Linked DNA regions of Lepisosteus oculatus. The protein of the gene in region 3 purifies or fractionates together with the protein of the main gene of each other region. This does not show direct contact. Links are inferred from orthologs where the notes say so. Each region holds a gene or a part of one and is shown on either strand. Other genes may lie near its edges.

The links.
Region 1: the proteins of traf3ip2a (region 3) and ikbkb purify together in Homo sapiens (affinity purification with western blotting; 3 studies listed by BioGRID, with this or other methods). This does not show direct contact. The link is inferred for Lepisosteus oculatus from reciprocal best matches to the Homo sapiens genes TRAF3IP2 and IKBKB.
Region 2: the proteins of traf3ip2a (region 3) and cd40 purify together in Homo sapiens (affinity purification with western blotting, with the first as the bait; 3 studies listed by BioGRID). This does not show direct contact. The link is inferred for Lepisosteus oculatus from reciprocal best matches to the Homo sapiens genes TRAF3IP2 and CD40.

Annotation. Positions count from the first base shown.
Region 1 is NC_090697.1:65,873,165-65,880,782, forward strand, and holds the start of ikbkb (inhibitor of nuclear factor kappa-B kinase subunit beta), read right to left. Parts: upstream 3,086-7,618; 5' UTR 2,756-3,085; intron 1-2,755.
Region 2 is NC_090711.1:10,843,776-10,851,873, forward strand, and holds the start of cd40 (tumor necrosis factor receptor superfamily member 5), read right to left. Parts: upstream 3,041-8,098; 5' UTR 2,956-3,040; coding exon 2,929-2,955; intron 1-2,928.
Region 3 is NC_090697.1:5,434,854-5,442,752, reverse strand, and holds the start of traf3ip2a (E3 ubiquitin ligase TRAF3IP2), read left to right. Parts: upstream 1-4,819; 5' UTR 4,820-4,893; intron 4,894-6,305; 5' UTR 6,306-6,347; coding exon 6,348-6,363; intron 6,364-7,023; coding exon 7,024-7,722; intron 7,723-7,899. Other genes in the region: probable G-protein coupled receptor 139, read left to right, coding at 963-1,035, 2,133-3,139. UniProt on the Homo sapiens protein: E3 ubiquitin ligase that catalyzes 'Lys-63'-linked polyubiquitination of target protein, enhancing protein-protein interaction and cell signaling. Transfers ubiquitin from E2 ubiquitin-conjugating enzyme UBE2V1-UBE2N to substrate protein.

The DNA.
Region 1 (7,618 bases), about 60 Mb from region 3:
CCTTGATCAGTTCATCGGTTCAATTGCTACACGTACTTTAGTTCCTCTCTATGCATCTGCTCTGTTTTACTTCCATTCACAATGCTGTGAGCCCCCAGTCAGGATTAGTCCCTAGTGGGGTCCCCCCCCCATGCACCGACAGGTGAACCCTGGACCAGTCGATAACCAGCGTAGCCCAGGGCTGTCGGGGCTGCAGGCCCGTGTGAAGCACCTGGAGGGGGTCACAGGTGAGACGAGCTCATTCCAAACTGGATACATCTGTGCGCCTTCACTGGAAGAGCTGCTGAAAACACAGGGCACACGGGACATGACGCCCACAGCTCCTCCACACACGCAGCAGGTAAACGAGCCAGCCAGCCATGCTGCAGAAGCTGACGGGGTTGCTGGGATGACAGGCCTGTGCCGACCCAGCAAGCAGAGATGGGGCCACATGGCCCTCCGACTGCCTGCGACCTTTCTGATGTGCTGTAAAGCAGCAGCGAGTGCAGGTATTTACCCTGAGTGATTCTGAACATGCTTCCTCCAGTACCAGGTGGAAAACCACAGGGCCTCTCAGATACACTGTTTTAGTCTCAAGGGAGTGCCAGTTAATGCTTCACTGTTGAGCTTGTCCTGTCCAGAGTGTATCCTGCCTCACACCCAATGCTTCCTGGGATAGGCTCTGGACTACTGTTAGCCTGAACTGGGTAAGCTTTACAAAGTGTTCATGTGGCATTATACATATTACAGCTCCTGCACCAGTACGTATGGCAGCGGAATCTCTCACTTAGGAGAGCACTGATCTGGCTACACAAGGTGTCAAGTTCCCACCATTCCCAGCTCACCAACCAGCATGGCATATAAGCCAGCATGGCAGCTCTTGACTAACCCCTTCATTGACAAAAACGGGTACAAAAACACAGAAAAACTAGCCGACAAAGTGTGGGGCTGCGGGTTTGAATGCCTAGTGGGACACTGCGGCCATATTTTGAATGGCTCTGGTAAAGGTCCTGCTGTATAAATGAGCTTCTAAATCATTGTTAGCAAAACAAAGGAGCAATCTTTGAACGTGTGTGGTGGGTGCAGCTCGTCCCCTGCTGGGATCACCATCATTTAGGCGCCCTCTCTCCTTCCTAGAGCCGGAGAATCCAAGACTATGGAGGATCACAGGGGATTCATCACCATAACTCAAAACACAAAGGAGCTCTGTTACACTCCACCCCTCTAAATGCCTTCAGTTACAGGCATTAGCTCATTCCCCCCGATGGCAGTGAACGGTGATGAACCAAAAGGCGGTCAAGAGCAAATGAGAAATGGGAGGAGGCCTGATCTAGCTCCTTCGGTAGCTAGTTAAATGATCCGGAGGTCTCATCCAGCTGTAGAGTTCTTGGTAGAAGCCGGGATATAGACTTCAATCACACAGCTGATACCATGTTCCCCACTCCCACCACCCTTTGTCTAAAGTAGTGCCTCCTGTCCTGACTGGAGGATCTCCTCCAGCTGTCTCGAAAGAAGCCAGGACAGCGGCTTCAACCACACGGCTGGGTAACTTGTTCCACACTCCCACATCTCTTTGGGCAAAAAAGTGCCTCTTGTTCTCGGTCTGAAACACAGGTTCCAGCTGTTTTTTTTCCTTATATCCAATAGTTCATCTTTTGCTTTCCATTCAGAAGAAATTTCCTCGGCCTGATTCCAGAGTACCAATAGCTTTTCTCTAATGTAGTGACCATAACTGCACACAATATTCTAAATAGGGTCTTACTTGTGTATTCCACAGCTGTAAAATAAGATCCCTTCATTTAAATTCTATGTTTGTAAATTTTATATTCTGGCATTTTGCTGCCCCACACTGACTAGAGAGGTGTTTCTGTTGGCACATTATTTACATGAGTCTATTTTATCAGTAGTCTCCTCTAACTCAGCGATTGCCCTTTTGCATTTAAAGAGTGTTTTTTTCCACCTGCATAATCCTGCATCTGTCTCCATTAAACATTCCCACCAAGTGTTTGCCCAGTTTTGAAATGTATCTTAATGTTTTTATTTTCCATTTGCAGTTTCTTCAGTGATTGACAATCATCCTAATTTAGTAGCATCTGCAATGTTGACTAGTTGACGACCCACATCAGAATCACTGATCAATACAGTATTAGGAAGAGCCGTGGTCCCAGTACAGATCCTTGTGCTAGTTCACCATTTACATCACCCCGTATCTGTATTCACATTCCCTTTCCCTGCAGAATTCAGGGCAGGCAGGACTTCTAGGGGACTGTGTTGCCATAGTGGGTTAAAAACCAAATGAGCTCTGGTTATGCTGTTCTGACCTCTCTAACGACGATCTCACATCCGTGTCATGAACCTGGGAAAGGGTCACTCAACGGATTGGATGCACTCATTCGGAACACGTGCGAAGAGTGCACACCAGCAGGCTCTGTGGCCGCTAGGGACTACAGTCCTGGACACTATGGCCGCTGACGCTAGGAGCACTCACAGTGCTCACACTGCAGGAAACAGGGTGTCACACAGACAGTGCAAGAGAGGTGATATACTGTAAATATATACACCCACAGGCAGTGAGGTCACGTTCAGACTAGGAAAGAAATACTGTAAGATTCTCACATATTTTTTATTATTATTATTAGAGTACTGGTGCTACCTGCTCCGAGCAGGTGAGACAGAAAAAGGCCCCACAGGGAGTGGAACAGCTCTGTATCGGCTGTCGAGATCTGCCACCACCAGGGAGAGGGAATGTGCTTCACAGGCGATATCGAGCTCTTACCTGCGTCGATAACGGAGACGTGTTTCTGTCAAGGTGTTAAAATCGACGCCGCAAACACGCCAGTCTCAGTGGATATTTTCTCATAGACAAATCCCTGAATAAATGACGAACAGGCATGATCGTAAAAAAAAAAACTTAAAAAAAAGATCTTTATATTTCTTTTTGCCAGCTGTGGCTGAACTCCACGTATAAAATGTTGATTTTTTTCAGTGGTCTACGAGTAACTGAATAACGGTAAGGTCAGAGATATAAAATTATGTATGCAAGCTTACAAACTTTAAATCCGTTTAAAAGAAGAGAAGTTGTTTGCAAACTTTCTCCGTTTGTCAGACTCACTTCCTGAAAAGGCAGCTTCCTGGCAGTCACGTGGTTGGTGAGGTCGCTGGCGCGTGATGACGTCACTAGGAAGACTGCCGCCGCGTTTCCAGTAGCTGCTTTAGTGTATCGTGACCGAGCTGCTCTTGACGCATTGTAATACTTTTTTTCTTCATGTAGAAACTAGGTCGACACTTTTATGTGTTTTATGTTTGAAGAGGGGGAATTGCGGTGTAGCGTGACTGTCGGTTCTCAGCCTCTTGTGGAGCTCTTGACACCACAGATACTGTTCGTCTTTTTGGTTTTGTTTCAAAGCACTCGTTCACATTTACAGCGAGGCCATACAGACAAGTGTGCCTGCGCTGTCTTATCCCTCACCCTTCCACCCTAGTCCACAAAGTCCCCCGTGTCTTCAGTATGGGAGCGTACTGTACCTGTTCCTCCAGACACATGCTCGGCTGCTGTGTTGCCCTCTGCGCTGTCAAGTGCGATGAGTTGCATGACTAAGACTGTGAACGGTTATTCTGGAATTCACCTCTCCCAGTACCTCAGCGCGCCCCAACTGCGACTTTCCGTTTCGCCTAGAGTCACCATATTTCACACATCCGAACAAGGACACACAGGAGGCGTAGGGGGGGGTGCAGGTAATATTTATAGAAGTGTATCCGGGGTTAGCTGATTGGGATATTCTCTCAAGAGGACGGGGGTGTGGGGGCTGGGAGAAGGGGGTACTGGTGATGTCTCCAGTAGATATTTGTTGTACGAGAACCGTTTTAAAAGAATGTGGGGAAAAAGATTAAAGGAAAAACTTTTAAGACATTTGAAAATTCCACCAGGGTGGGGTTTTAAGGGGCAAAAAAGGAGGACATGTCTGGGAGAATCCGAATGGATGGTCACCTGGATTTTGCCCAACACCTTCTGTCTACTGGCGGTGGTGCCATAGAGTGCCGGTCTGCGGCTTTGGATTCTCTGCCGGGACATCCCGTCAGTAGTCTGGGATAACACCAAGAAGACGAAGAAGATCAGGAAGGAATAGAGAGGGTGAGGAGCCAGCTGCCAGCAAACCCCACGGCTCTACCCTTGTTGTACCCTTGTGCAATCTGACATTTTTTGGCAGGATGGATTTTGTGTTTGTGCTTTGCTTAGCGGTAAATCCAATAAGAGTAATAGATAGATAATACTTTATTAATCCCGTAGGGAAATTGATGATAATAATAACAGTAGCAGCAATTGGGGTGCAGTCTTGCTGTCCTGGTCTTTGCGGCTGCTCGCTGATTCTAGCCTAGGGTGACTGTCTGAGGGGAGTCTACATGTTCTCGCTGTGCACCCTTGGGACTTCACCAGGTGCACCGGTTTCCTCCCAACTCCCAACGATGTGCTGGCTGAGCCCCTCTCTGCAATGTCAGGTTGTTGCTTTACCCTCGGCCCAGCAATGGACTGGAGAGCTGCCCCACACTCTCGGTCCCTCCTCTCCTCCCGAGCTGCTGACCCCCAGCTGGGTCAGTCACAGGAAGGGCTGACCGTCCCGCAACAGCAGATGACCTGGTCTCCGTTGAGGCAGTCCAGGAGACACGTGTGACGTTCGAGAGAACCAGCAGTGGTGCGTTCTCTCACAATCCGAAGAAACAACAGTTCAGACTAGGACAAGGGTGGCTGAGAATGGCCGCACAGCACCAGAACATGGTGCCAAAAAAGATCAGCTACTGCTTTAGAATTCAGTTCTGTTTGCTGCAGCCCAGTATGTGATTTCCTGTCACGACCTGAGGTTTTTATTAACCTGAGATGATGATGAATTATCTATTAATGTAATATATACATTAGTCCGGAGAAGCTCAGAGAAGGACCGGGAGAGAGAGCGGGTGAGGCCAGTGGGAACTGTGCCCTGTCTCTTCTCCACACTGGGGGGGGGTTGTGAAATCCGAGGAGTGGGGGTGGGGGCAGACAGGCAGAAAGGAGGAGCAGGTGTAATCGGTTCCAGGAAGTGAGATGTGTGTGCGCAGTTCGGGGGAGGCAGACAGCACAGGTCCACATTACAGTCAGAGACAGGCCGTGCTCTGGTGCTGCTCGGCAGGCTGTGTGGCCCAGTGGGTGGCGGGACAAGTGCTGCGTTTCGATTAGCTCAGAAGATTTGGTTCCGATAGCCCATTGACAGGGGCTCGGCACAAGATTCCTGGGATCCACAGCTGTTTCCCTCACACATACCGACTGGGGAGCTGGAGAGGAGACTGAATTCTCACACCTGTGACTCCTCTAACTGACCCCAGTCTGACCTCTCATGATCCCATGTCTCTGGGCCGGCATTACCTATTATCAGACACACATGTGCTTGTTGCACCTCAAGCATGTTATGAACAACAGGGTGAAGCAAACCACCCTGATGAAGTACAAGCTCAGTGACCACAGCCTGGCCATAGAAACTGGACACAGGCAGACCTCGACACCCAGAGAGGACAGGCTCAGTGACCACAGCCTGGCCATAGAAACTGGACACAGGCAGACCTGGACACCCAGAGAGGACAGGCTCAATGACCACAGCCTGGCCATAGAAACTGGACACAGGCAGACCTGGATAACCAGAGAGGACAGGCTCAGTGACCACAGCCTGGCCATAGGAACTGGACACAGGCAGACCTAGATAACTAGAGAGGACAGGCTCAGTGACCACAGCCTGGCCATAGAAACTGGACACAGGCAGACCTGGATAACCAGAGAGGACAGGCTCAGTGACCACAGCCTGGCCATAGGAACTGGACACAGGCAGACCTGGATAACCAGAGAGGACAGGCTCAGTGACCACAGCCTGGCCATAGAAACTGGACACAGGCAGACCTGGACACCCAGAGAGGACAGGCTCAGTGACCACAGCCTGGCCATAGAAACTGGACACAGGCAGACCTGGACACCCAGAGAGGACAGGCTCAGTGACCACAGCCTGGCCAGAGAAACTGGACACAGGCAGACCTGGACACCCAGAGAGGACAGGCTCAGTGACCACAGCCTGGCCATAGTCTTTAGCCTGGTGTGTGATCTCCTCTCACAGCCAAAGGAACAGAGAAGGAGCCTCTCAAATTATAATATCCTGCAGTTGTACATGTCTGTAAATGTTCTGCTAATTATTAATCCTCTGACAACATTGTAATTCCTCAGTCAGGCCAATAAAGCTCAATGAATTTGAAAGTTCTTGAGCGGACAGCGTAAATATGTCGCCTCTCCTCTCTAACCTGATCCGTCTGTGTGAGTTTATGTTCTTAGGTAAAAACATGGGATTGTTCTACTAAGCCCATTGTTCCGCTAGACATTTAGATAGATTTAGCGATTATGAAAATGTATCTTAAAGTTGTTTATCTTTGTTAGCTATAAGGATTTAGCTAATGCTGGGAAGAAGGCAGGTGGTTGGTTAAGCAGGCTGAGCCCCTGTAGGGGCTGAATACACGCTTGTCTAAGAAATGATAAATGACAGACTATCTCACATTTAAAAAAACACTTGAGATTCCTGGCTGCTTGTATCATCTTCTTGTCCATTAAGGGCACTTTACAATGAACAACATGATATTTTTTCTTTCTATCACTCTGCTAACCTTTGAATAAAGACATAACTTTTCAAAATCGACAGTAAGACAGCACCCAGGGGGCACAAACTGAACTACGTGCAAGGGCATTTAAAACCTAGAGCAGGAGACACTTCTTTACCCAAAGGGTTGCAGAAGTATGGAACAAGCTACCCAGACTGTGTAGTTGAAGCCTTCAAATAGCAGCCAGATGAGATCTCAGATCATTTAAATTATACAGATTGATCAATTAGATTAGATCAATTACACAGATTGATAACTTGTGTTTTTTGTACATTGAGGCAGCGTCTATACAAAGCGACATAGTGGAGAAGTGGCGTCACGCTTAAATAAATCACATTACTGTTATTTTTATTTCCTTTTCCAGACAACCAAAGGCATCTGTGTGAACCCTGTTCCTTTCAGCTGGCTCTGAAGGAGTTGATCTGTGGACGGGACTACCCAAATTGCAGTAAGAATTTTTGAGGTACAGGATGTTTCTAGCTGAGGGGTTCACTGACGATAACTCCAGCTCCCACGCTGCGGAGCGGCAGACTGTGAACACTCTCCAACACATTCCTGCTGGCCAGCGATAACGGCGGGGACACATGAGCAGTGAACTCACGCACACGCTGGCCCCACCTCCTCTCCTTATCAAAACATATCTAAGGTACAAACACAGCTCCGCTGTCTTCGGCCCCCTCCCGCATTCCTCGTCACCTCCTCCGCTCCCTTTCCCGGGGGATTCCCGAGATTGCCCATCATGCCCCTGGCTCACCGTTCTGGGAGGGCTGCATGGAGCCCGGCTGGCTGACATCACCCCGCGCCCGGCCCGTGTTTGCTCAGGCAGGGGTGGCGCCAGGCCCCTGCCCGGCCCGGTTGCCATGGGGCCGTTTTTGAGACCGCTCTGCCTGGAAGGTGGTAGCTTTGGGAAACAGCCGGAACTTTCTGGAATGAGGAAAGACCATTCGGACCAACTGCGGCTTGTCCGCTCTCGACG
Region 2 (8,098 bases), on a different chromosome or scaffold from region 3:
AAACCTAGGTCCTGGAAAACCCCAATGCAGCAGGTTTCATGCATGGTCATGAAATCATGATGTAACCTTAGGTCCTATTTGCGTTTTCTTCCGTTGAGGAGTTTGTAGTGTTTTTGAGTCGTGTGGAGTCCTTTGGTTCATTTGGTGGCTAGGTTTACGGTACTGTGACTCTGTGCCTTCTGATTAGTTATGGGGGGAGAACGTGACAAGGAAATGTGGAAATCAAAAAGTGAGAAAGGGAGAACAAGTGTGAAGATTATTCGTCTCCATCATGTTCTATTCTGTACCGGCAGAATGTTAACAACCATCACATGGACCCTACAGTTACAATTATTTCTAAAGTCTCTGAGCAGCTTCATTGTGAATAATTAAGCAGGAAGGGATTTGCTAAATTAATTTACTAATCACCTGTTGAAAAACAATTCTAAGTACCCCTCAGACCTCTGACAAACAAAATTCTCTTAATTGAACTGTATACTGTACGTGTTTATATGGCCAAGAATTAGTGGGCTTTCCCAAGCTTTAGAAACAGGTACTGTACAAAATCAACTGGATCGAAGCTCTTTGGGACCAAGGTTGGAGAGCATTGCTGTATAGTGACATTTCTAAGTGGTATTTAAAATTATATCCAAATATTTAAACCAGATGTGGTGATGTGATCAACTTTGTACTGTGTTAATACACAATACACAATATTTTGTTACCTGTATTGTGCATTAAAAATATATGCTGTAACTTATTTCCATTTCCAACACAATGAGCACACAAAAAATTAAATAATGTGCACAATGTTTTCTACATCTAAGGATGTTGTTTTTTTTTCAAGAAGTAAAATGTTTCCAGACCCAGATATACAGTATGCCTTTTTGTTTTGTCTATTTTGCTACTAGTGACAAAGCAGTTCTTAAACGTTAAGGTTCCTCCCAAAGTAACCTCAAACTAAACACACAAAGAAACAAGCTAGCCTCACTGTAAAACACCTGCATGGCATACGTGTTCATATGTGGTTAGATCAAAACGATAACACCTCATCTGTTGTGTGAAAACCCGAAACTTTTACTAGGACCGAAACGGCACAGAAAACCTACTTTTTTCTAAATAAAAAATTCTAAATAAATAGAAGAAGATTATATCTATTCTTTATAAATACCGTACCTGTATACACGGATATTTTAAGGGAAAAAATTGCAATAACGGTGTGTGTATAATTGTGTACACAATAATGACTTTGTGATTGTCTGTCTTCTGAAAGTGAGTGCACATTCATATCGCAATCTTTGTATTAGTCAGACAGACCTTAAAAACAAATCAGCAGCCAGAAGTGTATATTTCTGTTCAGCTAGATAGCAGAGAGCGTGTGAAATTAACGATGGGGGTCGGCATTTTCAACACCGCCGCAAAACTGCTGGTTGTAAGAGCCGTGAACCCTGGTCAACATAAATTGTAAAACATTGTCTGATGCACAAGATGTAAAATGATTAACATAAACAGAGGTCATTACACTGAACTACCAAGTGCAGAAATACTGACATCTGTTTGTATAATAGAAACTGTTGCATTCACGGATAGCACAAACAAAATTATATGATACCAGTAAACTTTATAAATAGTAACTGTATATAAAGTTATCCGTCGTCCTGTTTATTAAAACGTTTTCATTTGATCGATATGATTTTAAAGACATCTGACATTTTGAAATCAACACCACACCCTATAAAATCCGTTAAATAATATTTTTGCAAGACTTTCTTTTGGAATAAATAAATAAGAAACATTGAATAATAAGAAACGGAAAGATCAGCTGCACATGCAAGGAGGCAAAGTGCTTTTTTTTATATATACGGGTCACTATTCATTTTACATTCAGAAGTTTAATGTTTAAAAAATGAAGAGATTTATCTCTCAAGGCCAGAGACATAAAGATATAGCGGTTAAACTTGCTTCCTTTACGGAAAGTCCCTCTCTAAAACTATGCTGTTCAGCCAAAAGTCCCCAACATACCCCCCGAATTTCAATTGAAAAGCACTGTTTTTCATTGAAATGCTTTAAAACTGTTAGAAAAACATCACTGCAATGCCCAAGATATACCAAAAGAATTGACATGATGATCATTTACGGCATGTACGACTACTAAATATCACAGATTCTTCAGTTTTATTAGAACTGTCTCGGATTTTAACGTTATTTCACGTACCGGTAAAAAAAAACAGTTGAAGCATAAAGTCTGTAGTTTTTTTTTCATTACTTCAATTATATTTATAAATTATATCGATAATTCGTATACGTACTGTATGCAAGCAAAGGGGAAAGTACTGGTAAAAGTATAGGTCAATGCAATAAAAGTAGCATCTAGGCATATCCAGGAGGATTTGTGTTCTTAAAACAATGCGTCGTATTTCTGTTAGAAAGAAAGCGAAAATACAGCAAATTGTATTTGTTATTACGCCATAACGACACATCATCTGCATGGGTGGGAGAAGGTGGGAGTTGGGTCCTCTCTTGTGAGGTGACATCCCTAACACAACAACCAAGTCTCAATAGCGTCTACTTTTCTCCAGATTCTCAATCTAGCAGTAGTAGCGACTACATGCTGTACATAAACATAAAATAAAGCTGTAAATTGGACTGCGTGCAGAGAAATCGAAAGTAAAAACATTAACGTCATACTGCAGTGTCTCGCCTGACTGCCCCTGCCACCTAGACACTGGTGAGTGATTTTTAAAAAGAAAATAACAGATAGAAACCTAACGCGCTCCTGTACCAAGCATAACAGTAATAACACACTACAGTATATCGCATTTGCACTAGGAACCCAGACATATTTCAAAGTACATGAAAGTATGTCGTTTTTACAACATTTAAAATGGTCAAAACTCTAGCTCTACGAACTACTGTACATACTGTACATCGCTACGCCCAGGTACTTACCACCACGATGATATGGAAAATCTTCATTTCTGCACTGTTGTCTGGGTTGTTCTCAGTCGGGTACTGCACCGTACTGACTGCTCGATATGTGTCGACTGCGGTTGTCGAAGCTAGCTACATCAAAACCCCGACCTGCTCCAGCCAATCACTGTGCACGGGGGATTTCCAGAGTACTCTGCAAATTCTCACCAGACGTTGAGTATTTCCACTATAACAATTTTAATACAAATGCATAACATAACTTTTTCATAAAATACACATAGAGAGGCTAGGCCATTTGTTTCTATCAGTACTTGTAAACCTACACTATGTGCTGTACAGATATTATCTGAACAGTAAGTAAATAGATATCCAAATTGCAAATTGTCTGTTCTGGAAACAATAACATGATAGGATTAGGGGTTAATTCCTGTTCTTGCCACTTTTTGCCATTTGGTCATATTACATACTGTAAATGTATTTTGGGGACAGGGATATTAAGACTGTGAAGCTGCAGTCTGTATCTGGAATGGAGTCTGACATTGCAGACACTATGATACTGTAACCTGTTCTAATGCTTCTGTTTCTTTCCATCATTAATCTGCATGGTAATGTGAGTTGGGACAGATATCCTACTTGGAGCAATTAACTGTGTCAAATGCAAGTGACAGTAATTTTCCTTCCCACACTGCCAGCAGTATTGTCCATTGATCCAAATACCATCTCCAACAATTTTGGATTGACTGATATATTTTGTGCGAATGGCCATGCTTGACCGTGTGTGACCAGAAATGACAGGAAAAAGTTGAATCAATGGAAAAAAAAATAGAAACCCAGGAGATTCTGGTAACATCCCATGTGCTCGTTGCAGTGAATAATAATAAAAAAAAATCATTGAGTGCAGGTGAATATCTGCCTTCATGTTTTGTTATTGCCTACTATTGTCATTTTATTGAGAAAACATGTGACGTCTCGCTTAGGCTCATGAATGTGTTCTGCCAGATTGACTAGGATCCTGTACCTTTAAGTCTGGTTTGACCAATGCTGCACGGGGTTGCCCATAGGTTCCCACAGTACAGTATTTACCTTGTATTGACTACAGTATATGCAGAATGAGACGTCCTCTATCCTCTAACATTATATACAACTTTACATATTGTATATTAAGAGAAACTATAAGACTGGATATATGTACAATAGACTTCATCTAGTTGCAAGTATTGTAACTTGTTGCTGTTCGTAGTGACTGTCACCTGTTGCATTCTTATCTATACCCAGAAAAACACCTGAAATTTAACAAGAATCCTGTCCAGGAGTTCAATAGAAAGAAGGGGATTTAAGATGAGTAGCAATATTTTCTCATTTGGGAAATTCAGCAACACACTGTGATGGCATGTCTCACTCATTGTTCATTTGGCATCATAAATTTGTTAACCATGTCTGACTCTAAGATGGTAGTTTCACTTCAAGAAAATGGTTATAATTTTTCAGAGTAATGTCACATAAAACAGAATGGTCCCCCAAGTAGGACACTTTGAATGAATACAGTATATTATAGTCACTTATTGAAATGCATGTATCATATCACAAGTGAAAAAATATGCATTTCACTTGTCTGTCCTCTTTGGATACTGTACTATTGTAAATGAAGCATGCCACCACCTTCAGTTTTTCCTCCAAGCACTGAAAATCAAAAGCTACAAAACCTCAAGGGTAAAGACTTTAGACTTTGTGATAAGATATCACATCTTTGGTTGGTACTTAAACCTTAACATCTGAATAAGTGCAATGGAATTAGTGGACTACAACCAGAGTAGCCAAGCAGTAGGATTAACAGACCGAATGCCGCTGGAGATGAAGCCAGTTGATATCTTTTATGTTCACAAAACTCTGTGTTTGGTTATGGTACCTCTTTTCTAGAACTTGCAGAACTTACACAACGTTTTAAGGAGAAACAAATTCTTCTCCATACTTTTCCATTAGGCTTCAGACAACACCATAGCACAGCCCTGGTGAGGGTGTTGAATGATCTGCTTCAGATTCAGGAGTGTTGGCTGTTCTGGTGGACTTTTGTGCTGCCTTTGACACTGTTAATCATGAAATACTTCATAAAATAAAATAAATCATTTTAGACTTATGTTAGAATCTCTGGGGTAGCTCTTATTTGTTTTGGATCCAGGTTTCTGTTGAAAAGAAATTTGTGGCTCTGGGACTAATGGCATCTGACACCGATTTACTGAATCTTGGTGTTCCACAAAGCTTGGTTCTAGGGACTCTTCTCTTCACTTGGCCTGACCTCTACTGTGTTAACTTATATTTTTACACTGATAACTCTTAAATGTCCGTGCAGGCTAAGGCAGGCATGGATTGAGATAAGAATTCTCAATTCTGTTTTATAAGATATTGATAAAATGGGGGGTTACAAAAATGGTGAAAGTCAGGAATTGACCAAGCAGTAGCCAATAAGTAAAAGAATTGTTCATAACCGATTTTTCTAGAATACCCAAGCAGTTGGTATAATTAGAGGCACTTGAATTCTTTATTGTCTGGCACAGCTTTGTTGAAAAGAGTAATAATACAGGCACACTTGGTTAAACAAATATTTATTAATGATGACAATACAAACACTATACTACACACAACAAAACATATAAAACACAATTACTCTATGTATACAATATTTATAGACAAGGCATTTCAGAGGCCTAGCATTCTTATCACTCAGAAAACCCCCCAGACTTCTACTGAGTATGAAACTTTTAAATATTGCCTACAGAGGCCAAATAAGAGATAAGCTGCCTTCTAAATAAATGTAAAACAACTTGCAGTTAAATCTCTCTCTCTGCACCTGGATGCCACAAAATAAATGGGAGCTATTCTAAAAGCTCACTCACAAGCAGGAAAGACATCTCTAAGCAAGGTATCTTTTACCCAGGAAAGCCAAGTTCCCTAAAAACAGAGAATTGCAAACTCTCTCTAGCAGGGCTCAGATAATAAGCTCCAATCAGGTTTTTGTTTGGATGATCATGGAGTAGGGGCTTTCGCCTGGTGTAAGCTTCAAGTTCAAACTTCTCTCATGTGGTCTGACCTCCTTTCCTCACCTCTACTTTCTCCTTTTCTTGTTGTCTCTCCCTCTCTCTGTGGTCTTAATGTGATCTTATACAGTGTGTTTCTGGACTGCTCATTGATCATCATTAACCCACAACCTATTGTAGTTACCTACAGTAGGTACTGTATACCAATGTAAGGGAAAGCTTTGTTAGTATCACAATTAAAATAAAAATCACCTTCAATGTTCTGTTTACAATACAAGGGCTTCCCCCGGTTGCTTTTGTTTCCTCCCACAGTCCACAAACATGCTGGTACTGTATTTAATTGGCTTCTGTGAAAATTGACCCCAGTGTGATTGAGTGTCTGTGTCTATGTCTGTGTCTGTTGCTTGCCCAGATACTGCAGATTCTAGCTTCCCCTCAACCCTGTATTGGATAAAGTGGTTTGAAAATGAAGGGATGGACAAATTAGAGTCATTTTGAAGTCAAACATATTCTTTAATAGTAGGTTTATGCTTATTTATACTTTATGTTTATAAATTAATTTTCCTAAAAGAAAACATAATATCTGTCCATATATAAATCCATGATTCATAAGCTAGTCCATGATTGTGTTTAACTAACACAGAGAGTTGAAGTTGCTGCTACAAAATAAATAATTGTGTAGTGAATGAAGCAAACATTTGCTCAATGCTTCTTAATTATTTCTGAACAGAACATTTTCTGTTCAACTATGAATTAACAACAATCGGTTTAGTTTATCTATCTAATCTTGTAATGTCTTATCTTTCTCACCACAAACAGCCATCTAAATTCAATCTGTCTGACTGTGTACCTGTGCAGCTTTGATCTGCAGTTTATACCAGGACAGAAAATCCATCTACAGCTCGGATTGAATCAAACCTGATTTTGATCTAATCTACCCCCAAATTGCAAATCACAAACCAGGAACAGGATGACAAATGTTTCTTTGCCAGAGACTTTTTTTTCTTCTGGCTAAATGGAAACCCATCATCACAGGCTGGTTATTTTTTCAAATTACTGTAAAACATCTGTCTGTTGGGAGTTTATGAAAATCTCCAATTCACGTCATGCAGAGTCATTAAAGCCACGGGATATTGACCTTTTGACAACATTTGTGGGAAAAGCCGAGAGACTCTTTTTAGAACCACTTCTGTGTTTTCAATAATATTCCAGATTCTTCCTGTTTTATGTTACATATAACTCCTTCCCTTCTAACATATTATTCAGTGTGTCAAACTATTTGTCCTCCTTCCAACTAGTATGGTTGTATATGCAGTACTGTTGTATATAATATCAGGATATAAATAATACCAGTATATTACATATAATATATATAAACATACTGGTCAATATATCTGTATATTTAGACTTGATCATGTATTTGAATTAAGAATTGTTTAAAGACTATAAAACAGAGAATTCAGATTGGGGTGATGCAGTTAGCAAAACAAAACAGTATCACAGGGGTCTGTGTTAGGATCACTCTGTAATGCTGATACGGGTGTTACCAAAAACAGGTTAGAAAACACCACAAAATAAATGAGAAATAATCTTTTTCAGAGTTCAACACAGGGCACACCTCTGCCGGATGATATTTAATGCAGACAATTGAAGAGTCTTCATGTAGCAAAAACAAACTAGAAATACAGAAGAGGAAACAGTGATCTTGAAATTAGCAATGTGTGAAAAAAGTTTTTATGTTGACATACTATAGTTTTCATCTTCTAGACACTGTGTGAAAGCTATAAAATTGGCACGTAATATTATAATATGTAGTCAATTAGAATACTTTAAAGGGACTTTATGTTAAAATTGTGGAATGCCCTAGTGGAATGACCTCATTTTAATAAACGTTAAAGTTTAACCACCAAGTTACAAAAAAGATACAGTACAGCTGCTTTGGAATCAATCCAGAGTGGGTAAGGTATATTCCAGGTCTCAAAGGAATTTCCTATTTTGTCTAGCTAAAAGAAATCTTTATTGTCTCTAAAAGAGAAGTCTAGCAGTGACTTAATTAAAGGCACTGGGCTTATTGGACTTCCTTAGAATTAACAGTGAAACACAAACGAGAAGACACAAATGGAAACTATTTTTTTAAAAACTCATATCCTGATTTG
Region 3 (7,899 bases):
TTTTTGCCTGCGTTCAGTGGATCGCTGCTCCGCACTTTGTCACCATCACTTTGCCCAAACCTGCCTCTAGAGGAGACTGATGAGAACTCTGTATTTCTTCATTAAAACGTTTTTTTAACCGTTTGTACATTATTTTAACTCAATACCATGCGGTTACGTCTTTTAGAAGTTTTACATTCACAAGAAAGAAAAAGTTTAAATGCTCATGTTTTATTTTTAATTAAAACTCTCCTGAAACCGATGCCTTGTGAACTGTATGATGATTCGGTATGATATGAGGATTTTGATGATTGTCAGATAAGCCGATGATAGAAACCCAACAGAGAGTATGGTTAGATGATGAAAGGTACAGTATGTGTATACCTGGATCACACCAGACGCCAATCCCTTACAGGACACACACGTATTAACGTTCATTCATTTTCTAACTGCTCTGGCGGTAAACAACAGGCACAAGTCCATCACAGGACACACACACACACACGCCAGTTTTCCCAGAAGGCAATTAACCTAGCACTATGTTTTTGAACTGTGGGAGGAAACCTGAGCACCTGAAGGAAACCCACATGAACCTGGGGAGAACATACAAACTCCACACAGACAGGACCCCAGGAATTGAACCCAGAGCCCCAGAGCTGTCGGGCAGAAATACTGACCACTGAGCCACAGTGCAGCCCTCTCACACACATCAAAGAGAAGTGATTCAAGTGTGCCAGTTAAACTGTATAGGATGTATTTGAGCTGTGGAGACTTGAGTACCCAGAGGAGAAAAACAACTATAAGAATATGCAGTTATGAAACCCCCAAGCAGAAAGAACCAGATTTGAATCCAAAAGCTGTGAAATGACAGTACCAGACACAGTGCCACCACACCACCCTGCCTAAAACATCTCCTGTGATCAATGTTTACATTTTAGGTATCAACAGCTGCTATTGCCTGATGCTGATGAAGATTGCGAAGGATGGGGGGTACAAATATCTTGATTGCCATTCAAAGGGTCTATTACCCGTTACTGTTTTCAGTTGGATTACCAGGTTTGTTGGCGTTTTCGTTTGTTGTGTGATTGTTGTTTTTGGCCACGCAGGTGGCAGATGGCAGTATGAAAACAGACCCTGGGAATGTAATGATATTATAAAAACATGGTACTGTTGTTAATTGTTGTTATTGCCAGCAGTTAAATCACCCTGCACCTCACAGCTGGCAGCCCACTGAATCCCAGCAGGTGTGAGCCTGGTCAGTACCTGGAGGGGAGACTCCTGGGAAAGCTAAGGCTGCTGTTGGAAGTGGTGTTAGTGGGACCAGTAGGGGCGCTCACCTTAACGCTGTGTGCTGCCTTGATGCCACAGTAATAGTGATGGGGGACACCACACTAAAAAAAAGGGTGTAGGTGTGGGTCTGTGTGGGTCCTAATGCCCGAGTATAGTGACGGGGACACTATACTGTAAACAGGCGCCATCCTTCGGATGAGACGTAAAACCGAGGTCCTGACTCTCTGTGGTCATTAAAAATCCCAGGGCGTTTCTCGAAAAGAGTAGGGGTGTTACCCCGGTGTCCTGGCCAAATTTTCCATTGGCCTTTACCCATCATGGCCTCCTAATAACCCCCATCTCATTACTCTCCTCTCCTCCCCACTGAGAGCTGGTGTGTGGTGAGCGTTCTGGTGCACTATGGCTGCCGTCCCATCATCCAGGTGGGGCTGCACACTGGTGGGGGTGGAGGGGATCCCCATTACCTGTAAAGCGCTTTGAGTGGAGTGTCCAAAAAAGCGCTATATAAGCGTAAGGAATTCATAATTAATATTATTAAATGTGGAATTTTCTTCACACTTCTCACCTTGTAAGCCTCTGCTTCATGCAAAGCAGGACTAAGAAGCATTTTAATAAATCCTTTGTCCCCAAACCTTATTTAGCCAAAAAAAAAAGTCCTTTACTCTTCTTCAGAATATAAAAAAATGCTGCCAAAAGTGGACAAATCCTATAACTCACCTAAAGAAATGCATTTTGTCATCTACATTTACAGCATAACTGTAGCATTTATCTAGCAGGGAACGATACCACGTGAAAAAAAAAAAACAGGAGCTCCCACCTAACTCACCAAGTGCTGAGCAAAATGTCTGCTTTTTACTCTACAGCCAACCTCTTCACCTTCTACGTGATTAGGTTTCGCAAGTGTGGCATGTCCGAGACGGCCGCCATCTACCTGAGCTCGCTGGCCGTCGTGGACTCCTGCTACCTGGTGTGGGTGATCCTGCTGGACCTGACCTTGACCTTCGCGCAGGCGCAGCCCTTCTGGCACGCCCAGCCCTGGTGCAGGATCCTGACCTACCTGCAGCACGGCTCCCTGTACAGCTCCTCGTGGATCGTGGTGGGCTTCACCGTAGAGCGCTACCTTGCGCTCAGGATCACCGGCCTCAAGAGGCGCCTCTCTCGGTGCAGGGTCACGGTCTGCGTCACCCTGATGATCGTCGTCTTCTCCCACGTCGCATCGGTCCCAGTGTACTGGATCAACGACGTCAAGCCGACGAACCTCACCAGGGACGGCGAGAACGTCACCTTGCCCAGGTGCGGCTATAACAACACGGAGTATTCCACGGTGCTGGTCTGGATCACCACCTTCCTCTCTGGGGGAATCCCCATTCTCCTCGTCATCGTCTTTAACACTCTGATAGGACACCACCTCCGGAGGGCCAGCAAGATGTTCACCAAGGAGGAGAGGCGAGCCATCAAAGGGGCCAGCGCCAAGAGCATGGTCAGAAGAACCATCTTACTGCTCTGCACAGTGTCCATCACCTTTGTAGTCTTGAGTCTCCCGCGGTTTGTGACATATTGCATCTTAAGAACCACCTACAACTACCAAGGCTTCAACAGAGACGACTACAGCCTGCCCATCAATGTCATCAGTGACCTGGCCAACATGCTGCAGAATCTAAACTCCTCCACCAACTTCCTCTTGTACTGCATGGTGAGCAGGAGGTTCAGGCAGGAGCTGCTCGGCTTGCTGGCTCACAGGAGCAGAGCGAGGGAACTTGGGTCCCTCACCGCCCAGACAACCATGAAAGTGTTTTCTGTCATGGATCGTCCAGCCCACAATGCAAGGGTGGTGAACGTGGTTCTCACAAAACTGAAGCAAACTCAGTAGTTCACTGACAGCGTCTTGTAAAAGCTTTCAATATTTGTGAAACTGAGATTTTTCTAAGAGATGTCTGCATTCTTGTACTTGTTTTAACTTGCCTTTCAAAAGAAGTGATGGAGATTTCAAAGTAAATTACAAATGGCATACAGTGCTCTTTCTCCCCAAGTGCTGAATGTGCGCACAGTTCTGGAGCTCTGTTTGTGCGAGAGGCACACAGCACGACGGCACGACAGCACACACTCTGTAATCCATCCATCTTTCCACCCATTCCCGAACCGCATCGTCCCGTTCACGGTGGTGGGAGAGCACTCGGTGCTGGCGCCCCGGGCTGCCGTCTGTGTGACGCTTGTGTGCTCCCCCCGTCTTCACCTGGGGTTCCTCCCACACTCCCATGACATCAGATGAGGCCCGGGCCAGGTCACGCTGTGGGGCCCCCTCATGGTTTGGGAAGAGGGGGGAAAAATATTGGAATGTACAGAATAGTATGATGGGAGGATTAAGGCGGGCATTTTGGCACTCCTGAAGAAGGGTAGATTCAGCACTGAAAGGGGGATGTTTTTTTCACAGCCGTGGACTTTAGGCGAGAATCACAGCATGTGGTAAAAGTTCCTAATCGGACTCGAGTAGAGAAACACAGCCAAAGGGTTGAAGTGGGGGACCTCGCACCTTGAGGTGAGGCCCCCCTTTGAGGTCAGGCCTAGGTAGCTACACCCCAACAGCCCAGCACACACATCCACAGGGATTATTGCCTGTGTTGCGCTCCAGACACAGTCCTGACGCAGAATGCAGTCAGTAAAGCCAAAAACGTTGAAAGATTTTAATTTTCTGTCATGGTTTTCTTTTGAAAATATTTTTTTTCCCTGTCCTTGCACACTCAGTTTGGATTAGTCCATTCCAAAATCAATCCAGTTTACCACTGGAGCCACAGGACTGGGAATGGGAAGAACACAGAGACAAATATGTCCTCCTCCATCATGTGTACTTGTCAGAGTTCAGCCTCTTTTTTACTCTGTGAGCCTCAGTGATATCGACTGGTGGTCCATCTACAGTATGTGCCTTATTTACTGATTTAAATGTAATTACTTTTCTCTGGAGAGATGAGAACACGGAGGCATTCGTTTTTCATTCATGATACAATACGTCTTGAAAATGTGTTCACTGCAAAATGTTATTAGGAATACTCTTCTTTCGCATTCCTTATTACAGCATTTTGAAAGAGTAAAGATAGTATTCTGATGCCGCTAACAACTTAATCATTTCCTTAGTTAATAGTTTTTTTTTAATGGCCTAATCTCTTTTAGAAAACGACATTGCAAAAGCGAAAGGTTTACTGCTTTTAAAACTCCCAGACTAATCGTCAGTCTTTAAGAAAGCCAGGTGAATTGCAGGTGTTCCGCATTTTTAGTCTCACTACATGCCATTTTTCTTACAGACGAACTTTGTCATTAAACTTTTAACAAAACAAAGCTCCGATTATTTTTTTTTAACCTGCAGAAACGTTAACACCTCTCGCCTGCCTTTGTACGCTTCCCGACTTCGGAGCGAAATTCCTTCCGCTGCTGAAACTTTTTTTTCCGATGGGTGGACTCTACCTTTTAAACTTTTTGTGAAGAATTTGCATATTCGGAGTTATTGTTCTCCCTGATTTGCATTTAAAATTATTTCCTTGTGAAGAAAGAGCCGCGGGTTCCCAGCAGGACAGCTACCTGCGCGTTTCCTTCTACGCCCACAGTCAGTCCTCTGCCGCCGCTGTTGGGGAGGTAGGAATATTGATCTCCGGATGCTTTTAATACAAAACACTTTCCTGTATTGATTATTTTAAGCATTCAGACAGAAACCTGTTGTGTAAAAGAAAAGGCGAACTGGTGCAGTTAGTGCGATTAAGCTGAACGTGGGAATATATGTTCATTTTGACTTTGAAAGCCTTCTTGTCAGATCAGGATGAAAAAAGACAAGGAAATTCGGAAAAGTCCAGTCATCAACAGTAAATCAAAAAGCTGTTTTTTTTTTTTACTCAGTTCATGTTCAACTTTGTGGTAGTGTTTACCGTTAATTTTTTTTTGCAAATAGTGTTTAATCACTTAAATTAGCCAGCTCGTCGCTGAATGAGGTGGTAAGGTGGTTAATGACGAACTGGACCGGTGTTAAACATTGGTACTGTACATGAGTCAGTGTTTGGTGTTAATTTCAAGATGATCGCCAAGTTCCCTGCACTCATGCCTACTGTACATGTATGTACATGAGGGTGTAGATCCCTTTGACTTTTTTAGATGGTTTGATTTCTTTAAAAAAAAAACCCATCTGTTCAGTAATACAAATAATGAAATAAACTAGTTTCAAAACACTGTCACGTAGACGTACCTTCGCCTATTCTTTTAAAAACGTTTGTCCTTTTTTCTCAATTATTTGGATTGACCATACAAATAAGATATTGTTTATTATATCAAAATATATGGCAGGGTGGCTCAGCTGCTGGTAAAGATGCACAGTGTTGCACGGCATTGCAACCCAGAAATCTGATAATCTAAATTCAGATCGCTATTGCCTAAATTGTACTATTACTCGCTGCTTTTCGGGTGCTTATGTTTTACTGAGACACAAAAACATTTGTTCTCTCCAGTGGAGTGTAAACTGTTACTGTCTATATATGAACTGTGATCCCACAGGTCCGTTTGTATCACTGGTGTCTACCCTTTGCCCACGTAGGCTGGAAAGTCTTCGGTTTGCGCAAAAGCATAGTGTGACAAGTGGCTTTTCGAGGAAGTCTCCATCTTGGCTCAAAACCCAGGCCCTTTGGCGTAGCCCTGAGCCAAAATGGGGGCTTGCTTTCACTACCGCACACAAGGGTTGGAAAAAAAGTTCTGTGATGATCTCTCAGCTCTCTCTGATGCAGGTCACTGTATTTCTCTGTGTTCTTTTCGTCTCAGTAACATGAATGTGTTGTAGCCATCTTGCCTGATGTCTCTCTCTCAGTGCTGGAGACACTCTTTCAAGATGTACACTCTTCACCAACTTATACTGTACATATGTATCCCCTTAGCCTGCTGTAAATATGATGCCATAGTAACTAGTTTTAATTTTTGTTCAATTGACAGGGTAGTAGGCTCGTTCATTTATTTTCTTGTTCGAATCGTGTGCAATACATTCTTCTCTTCATCGTTTATCTTCTCAGCACAAGACGTTATGTAAGAAATTTCAGCTGGTTACAAGGACAATGGAGTCATTCATAGGTAAGATCCAAACGTATTTGACACAAGGCTTTACATTAAAAAAAGTGAACTAACAAGTTCATTTAATAAAACAATGCCGGTGATATTATTCAACGAGAATCATGTGGTTCTGTGATTTCTGCATCATTATAATCATGGAATTGTTATATGTTCTACTCTAGTCTAATATGATTTAATCATCAGTTCTGACACTTAGATTCTGAGTCAGAATTTGTCTTGAAAAGAAACTAGATTAGCTCTCCGAATAGACCTGTAGAAGTATTAGTTTGTTTGAGAAACAGGAAAGGAGCACGTTCCAGTGATAATGTTAACGTCCTGCAAAGAAGCAAGCAAAAGGTTCATTCCATACCGAAAAGAGAAGAAAGGAAACACAACGTTTCGCTGTGGAGCCTTCTTCGGGAAATTCTTTTCTTCTCTATTCTGCAGGGAACAAACCTTTACCTGTTCCCTTCCAGCCTACGCCTGCTGACGCAGCTCCCTACTGGAACTCTTTTTACACTCTGTCTTCCTTGTGTCTGAAAACAGAGCATAAATGTCAACAGATAAGTGACACTGGGATAAGTAGGGGGAGAGTACACTGTAAGACAAATTGTTTTTTTGCTTTGAAGGATTTCTTTCTCGGGGGTCAGACCCTAATTGTTTTGTTGTCTTTATCTGAAGACTTTCGTCCTCTCAGAAGCATTCCCGTGGAGACGGACGAGTCCATGGTATTCTTGGACGTGCTGGCGAAGTGTAAAGACCAGCCCTGTGGGACAGCGGGAGTCTGCTCTGGACAGCCGGAGGTGACGGTGAACGAAGTGGCACTGTGCAGGTCCGGTGTACAAGACAGCTTAAGTGGCAGAAACTATTTCCAGGAGAAGAAACACCAAACGGGCGCTTCTGAGGAGGATACAGGGCAGAGTCCTGGAAAAAGTCCCTTCCCAGCAGGCAGCTGGGCCGATTCGTCCCCAGAAATGCGCCGGTTCGAAATTACACAGGCGCCAAGAGGACCCGCAAAGCCGACCAATACCTGTTTACAGCAGCCGGGCTCTTCAGAAGTCGGGCCCTGCCCCGCCGTCAAGAGACGCCAGCTGCCCACAGAAAAGGACTTCGAGAGCGAAGTCGGTTCTGACTCCAGAGAGAGTGCCAGGCCGTCTCTGCTGAGCAGACAGCTGGACCTCCCCAGTGAAGACACCGGCTACGGGTCCCAGCCTCGGAAGGACATGGATGTCCAGCTGCAGGACCCCCCGCTGTCTCTGCGGTCAGACCTGGGCTGCCCTGTAGGCCCCGGGGTTGTGATAAACAGGGGTGAAGGATCTGGGCTCTGGCCCACAGCCCACAACAATCCACAGCAGCACCACCATTACCCAGCTCCTCAGCGTAAGTTAGACCTTGGATACTTCTGATCTTGACCTGATCTTGACCTGATCTTGACCTGATCTTGACCTGACCTCGCCTCACCTGACTTCGCCTCACCTGACCTGAACTCATTTGATCTGACCTCACCCAGCCTGCACTCGCCTCACCTGACCTCGCCTCACCTGACCTCGCCTCACC